Kluyveromyces lactis: one gene and its partner. The protein of the gene in region 1 purifies or fractionates together with the protein of each later gene. This does not show direct contact. Links are inferred from orthologs where the notes say so. Each region holds a gene or a part of one and is shown in the gene's direction. Other genes may lie near its edges.

Region 1 (3,323 bases):
TAACCCCGCTTCTGCCATAAATACTGGGCCAAACAGTTCTGGAGGGTATCTTCCTCCTCAACTTGTCGATTGGTTTAACGATAATAATGAAATTGGTTTAGATTTCGTTGGACCATGGACGGAAATGGTAGAGAAACAATTCGTGAACAAAGTAGACGACTCTTCCTACGAAAATTGGTTTAATGATTTCTATACCCCACCAAAATAGAAAATAGTTAAGTACCGGTACGTAAACCTAAACAGTCTTCTATCGCATTTCCATATCTCAATACACAAAAGACCCATTACAAACAATCGCTAACTTCATTGCAAGAAAAAAAAACACAAAGAACTACTGCTGCTCCCCGATTAATAGTGTGATTCTTTCTGTCCCATGCTCTCGTGACACATTTTCCTTAACCTCCACTTATAAATCAATCGGCTTATAATCTCGCTCTTTTCCCAATACTACGGTACCTATGTGATGAGGTCTATTCGAGGATTTCCACACGTTTGTCCAAAAAAAAAAAAACGGCTCGGAAACAAAATGGTTAGTACTATAAAAAAAACAGCACTTTTGGATAAAAACACGAAACCATATGATTCCATCAGGAAGACGATCCTTTTGTTTAACCTGGGGTTCTAATCGCTATTCTGCGTGTGTGAATACATATATATATCCTGCAGTTAAGTTTCAGCGGGTGCTATCTGGGATATTCTTTGGGGTTACAGCTAGCTGAAAACACGTCTGACGGAAAAGAGGAAACGTGAGAGAAATAACACAGAGGTTTTGACTACAAGTGAGGTCCCTGCGTTACCAATCTATTTAATTAATTTATTTGATATTTGGTTTGCATCAATCCTAGGCGCAAGAGCAAAGTATACTCTGGAGCGAAGCATTATCTAGGGCTACAATACAGGCTTTTTTTTTGGATTCATGTACTGACAACATCCACACACACCCTGCATTATTTTTGAGAAGACTATATTCTTAATTATAACACATCATAATACCATACCCCCTCTTTATTTTGGCACTTGTGTTGTTAAAGGAATTTGTGAAAAGTGAGATCAATAAATATATACCGCTTACAGCAGAAATAGAAGAAAGGAGGATGCCTACCAGTGTTCAGGTGAAAGATTACTATGAAAATGATTACAATGGGTTATGGTCATGGTATTTGAGCAATTTACGAAACGGAGAGTTTGAAGAATTGACTGGTAACGAGTTGAAGCATGGACTTTTGAAACGGTTTCTCAGAGATCAGTTTCAAGCGACCGGACCATTAAACAAAAAATTACTCTTGGTTTCAATTCCGGATGAGATTCACCAGGATATTAAAGTATTAGAAGAGTTTTTAAGCGAATATTTCCATTTGAAAGATGACCACACTAATATTGTCATTGATAAATTAACTCGTGGGACTGTTTACAAACATGAAAACCATTATCTAATACAGGACAAATTGACCAATTTCAATGATGAATGGTTCTTAGAGATGAAGAAAGATGTAAGCATTAGCGGGAACAGCAGCAAGGATGCTACCGATTCGGCGGAAAACTGCGGGCAGGAAATGGAGGATGATAGTCCCCGTCGAGATAGTGATTCTAGCGACAGCTATAGTATATTGACGGGTGATACGTTTGACACTGAATCTCATTCCATTGTTCTCAATTTCAAGCATCCCGAGGTCATGGTAAAACCAATCACTAAGACCACTCAACGGATTGTAAGGATCAGTCCAGGAAATAATATTGGCTCACCTGCAGAGTCTCAGGTATCAATAGTGACACATGGCGATGATCTGGAATCTTACCGTGGAGAAGCTTTGGTCCAAACTGTGACAAGGGCAATAGACGAAGATGAAGAAGATGAAGATGATGATGATCATCATCATGACGTCGAATCCGCTGACGATATGAAAAGCAAAGATATCTCGATTCCACCTAGCATTTCTATATCTGACAATTTCGGCACATTTAGGTTAGTGTTACAGTCAATTCTTATAACCAACAAGGAAACAGAACAAATCTTTACTGGCATAAGACAAAGCGAAAACGATAGAAGTAATGCTGACATAAATGATGATTGGCTCTTATACGATACGGATTTTAATTTAGGCAATTTACAAATGTTGTCGTTATACGATATTTTGGACTTCAGTAAATTTTTACCCAAAATTCTGTTTTACTCTATGATCCACGTTAAGGATTCTGTCGACGATAACACGGAGCTATCTTTACAACATCTGATTACAGTCAATAATACTCTGACTAATGGAAATATGTATAGTCCACATGAAGTTGATGATTCAATGAGTGAATTAAGTTCTGATAACTCGATTGAATGTTACACAGGAAATTCAAATGACTCCATTGCGGATGAACCAGTCATCGGACTGTACTCGCCAGCAACTGCGGCTACAGCAGGTCATAGGTCCATCAGAACGGTGGAAAGTATTGGTGCGTGGGCCTTAAATAGGTCCAATACCAAAAAAAGTATGGAAACTGTGCAAAACACGGTATCAAGGGACTCCAGAGGGAATTTCATGAACAGAATCAAGTCTCAGCCAATGCCTGTGTTATTGCAGACACTGAATAGTAATATAGATGAGGAGGCAATAAAGATCAAGAAAAATCTTGCCAAAGTTAGAGCAAGACAGCGGAAAAAGTCCACTTCCCACAATTGTAGTATAATGTAAGTAGTTCTGTGTTCATTAGAAAATAAATGACATTATGATTATTGAGTCTTGTTTATTGGGCTACTTAATTACAATGCTGCCTTTACTCTTGATAAATAACAGACCAATCAGACTATAATTAATCTGATAAAGATAATTTATTGAATTTCGCAACAATTCAGATGGACGGTGTGTTATTATAAGTTGATTAATTAGATTACGTGGGAGGATGGATTTATACAAGAAAAGGTAGTGTAAAAAAATTTGAAAGTGAAAATTGGTTGAAAAACATTATAGTAAAAGGAAAAAACCAAAGTAGAATAAGCGTTTTATTGATCGATGATAAAAGGGAGACAAAAGAAAAAAGTTCGAACATGCTCAATATAAGAGGGATAATTCTGAAAGTTTTATTAAGTCTTTTAAGACTGAAAATTTGGTTATTTTGTCTTTGTATTCGTGATCCATGTAATTTAAGTTTCTTCAGGAATGAGGAGTTCGTAATTATCCATTCGAAAAAGATATGTCCTCTACTTCAAAAAGAAAGACATCGGAAACTCGTTAAAAGAATTGAAACCGTTAATTTGAACGTAACAGTATTGTGGTGCGAAACCAAGTGAAATGATTATTCATTGCATATGCGAAATCAAAGCCTTTTGAACATCC
Region 2 (3,213 bases), about 180 kb from region 1:
GCGTGTTTTAGATGATAGATTTTCTCTTGCTAGTTCCAATTTAAAAAGCACAATGATAGTAAGGAATCGCTTGATGTGTTTCAATTTGGGCTCAAAGATGCCTGTGACTGAACATATTGCAACGGACTCTTGGACGGATGACGAGGACGATATGGAGCATTCAAATTTTAGCCAACAATCATTCTACGATCCTGCCGCAGTCATCGATATTTACTCCAGTGACAGTAGTGATTGAAACTAATACATAGATAGCAGAATTTTGGAATCACCAGTTTATAATGAGGAAAATACGATATTAACGTTATTCCTAATTATAAAAGAGTAATTGGGGAAGATTAAAGATGTAATATATACATCTTGGTTCGTATATAATAGCCACTTATCGAGTGGTGATGTACTTTAATGTAGTGTCATAGCATATTGACGTAGTGAAGAATGGATTCGTGAATTGTCTGAATCCTCTCGTAAAACGTGACAGGATTGGTGACTGAAAATGGTCAATTCGCCGGACTCGTCCCAGTACGGTCTCCTACATAAGGTATCAGTCATCATCAACGATTTCTACGCCGTTTACATTTTGATGATAAAATTGAAAACTTGTCATATACGGAACATCAACAATAAAAGAAGGATCAATGCGTAATTGTAGGGCGGATAGAATTGGGTTTTGTGAGACTCCAGAAACGTCACACTAGTATAAGAATTGCAAGTTTTCTAACAAGTTAGTCAACTTCTCAATTAGAAGCAACTATTCTCAGAGTAAACAAGATATCCCTCTGTTGAACGCAAACTCTTAGTGAAGCATTTACGAGTACATACTCATCAGAGAAGATATGTCGCACGACCCAAATCAACAACAGCCGCATGGTGGCTCAGGTCAAGGCCATCACCAACGCCAGCTGACTAACCACGCACAAGGCCAACATATCGGTAAGTATCAAATCATCAAGACCTTGGGTGAAGGATCATTTGGTAAAGTGAAACTGGCGTACCATATCTCTACGGGACAAAAAGTGGCATTAAAAATCATCAATAAGAAGGTTCTAGCCAAGAGTGATATGCAAGGTAGAATCGAGAGAGAGATTTCGTACTTACGTTTGTTGAGACATCCACACATTATCAAATTGTATGACGTGATCAAATCGAAGGACGAAATTATCATGGTGATTGAGTATGCTGGTAATGAATTATTTGATTATATTGTCCAAAGAGACAAGATGCCTGAACAAGAAGCAAGAAGATTTTTCCAACAGATTATTAGCGCAGTAGATTATTGTCACCGTCATAAAATTGTGCATAGAGATTTGAAACCAGAGAATTTACTATTAGACGAACATTTGAACGTTAAGATTGCTGATTTTGGTTTATCTAATATAATGACAGATGGTAACTTTTTGAAGACTTCATGTGGTTCTCCAAATTATGCGGCCCCAGAAGTCATCAGCGGTAAACTATATGCAGGTCCAGAGGTTGACGTTTGGTCTTCAGGGGTTATCTTATACGTCATGTTGTGTCGTAGGTTACCATTCGATGACGAAAGTATCCCAGTGTTGTTTAAGAACATTAGCAATGGTGTTTACACCATACCTAACTTCCTTTCCCAAGGTGCTGCGAGCTTAATCAAAAAGATGCTCATCGTCAATCCAGTTAATAGAATTACCGTGCATGAAATCATGCAGGATGAATGGTTCAAAGTTGATTTACCCGACTACCTAGTTCCTGCTGAAAGCACCCATCAAGAAAACTCTGAAAGCAAAACAGAAGATGGCGGCCCATCCGTGCCACTCGAACTGATCGATGATTCGTTAGTTCAAACGCTATCAAACACTATGGGTTATGACGTAGATGAGATATATGAGGCTTTAGAGTCCGATGAAGATCATCCATCTTTAAATGAAATCAGGGATGCCTATCAGTTAATTAAAGAGAACAGAAATTTAATCAACGACATCAAGGTGAACAAGCAACAATCTAATGACTTGGATACTTTCTTATCGCAATCTCCACCCACTTTCGAACAATCCTTGCATGCCCCCCCGGGCTCAAAAAATCGACACTCACACCGCCATTCAAAGAGAACACAGCAACGTACATATCAATATCATTATGGAAATGGTTCTCAGGATGGAGACAGCACGATTGCAATTTTACCTAGCTCGTTACCACAGATCCATAGAGCCAACATGGTAGCACAAGGGTCCCAGGCTGCTGCTAAGATTTCACCATTAAGCGTGAAAAAATCAAAAACAAGGTGGCATTTCGGTATACGATCAAGATCCTATCCATTAGACGTTATGGGAGAAATATACATTGCATTGAAAAACTTGGGAGCCGAATGGGCGAAACCATCAGAAGAGGACCTATGGACTATTAGAGTCCGTTGGAGATATAATATCGATATGCCTGATGACGAAATGAAGAACAAGCAGATTCCAGATTTAATGAAGATGGTAATCCAATTGTTCCAAATTGAGACAAATAACTACTTAGTGGATTTCAAATTTGATGGCTGGGAGTCCAGTAACGGTGTAGTGTATTCAAGTCGGAACGACGATGAAATGAGTACGTTCAGTGCATACCCCTTTCTACATTTAGCAACCAGGCTGATTATGGAACTTGCAGTGAATAGCCAAGGAAGTTGATTTTAAGGTTCATGAAATTAAAAAAATACTAACGGATAATATCCAACGAAGAGTGTATATAAGTTTGAATATTTGCTTAAAGTTTAAGCCTTATATACATATCATTAAATAATGACAATCACTATATTATATGAGAAATTACTCTTAGCTCACAACACTCGCCGGGAAGAAGAGGAAAACAACATACATGTTTTTGACACATGAAAAAAGAATGCATCGGCCGGGAATCGAACCCGGGGCCCAACGATGGCAACGTTGGATTTTACCACTAAACCACCGATGCTACTTTGTTGTAGTTTTCGTAAGATAGACTGAAGACAGGCCAGACGAAGGGTCATGTGAGCTAGCCAGCACACGGCAGAGTTCCAAGACGTCAGTGACTGGGCATATGGATCCTGTGGTATCCAGAAGGGAAGGCCTAGATGGATCAAAGAGGGTCACGTGACAATATTTAGTGAAATTGGAATAGGCAGAAGCTGCGCATGACGAGTGGCTCATGAGACTATCAGTTACCATGAAAAAGTCCGACGGACAACTGAGTATGAGTTGAGTATTAGGGCTGAGTTAAGTT

The links. The genes of interacting proteins can lie anywhere in the genome.
Region 2: the proteins of GIS4 (region 1) and SNF1 purify together in Saccharomyces cerevisiae (affinity purification with mass spectrometry; 3 studies listed by BioGRID, with this or other methods). This does not show direct contact. The link is inferred for Kluyveromyces lactis from reciprocal best matches to the Saccharomyces cerevisiae genes GIS4 and SNF1.

The regions. Positions count from the first base shown.
Region 1 is NC_006037.1:156,574-159,896, reverse strand, and holds GIS4 (Gis4p), read left to right. Parts: upstream 1-1,094; coding exon 1,095-2,681; downstream 2,682-3,323. Other genes in the region: ARO80 (Aro80p), read left to right, coding at 1-208; KLLA0_A01760g (uncharacterized protein), read right to left, coding at 3,287-3,323.
Region 2 is NC_006037.1:338,236-341,448, reverse strand, and holds SNF1 (AMP-activated serine/threonine-protein kinase catalytic subunit SNF1), read left to right. Parts: upstream 1-833; coding exon 834-2,642; downstream 2,643-3,213. UniProt on the Saccharomyces cerevisiae protein: Serine/threonine protein kinase essential for release from glucose repression.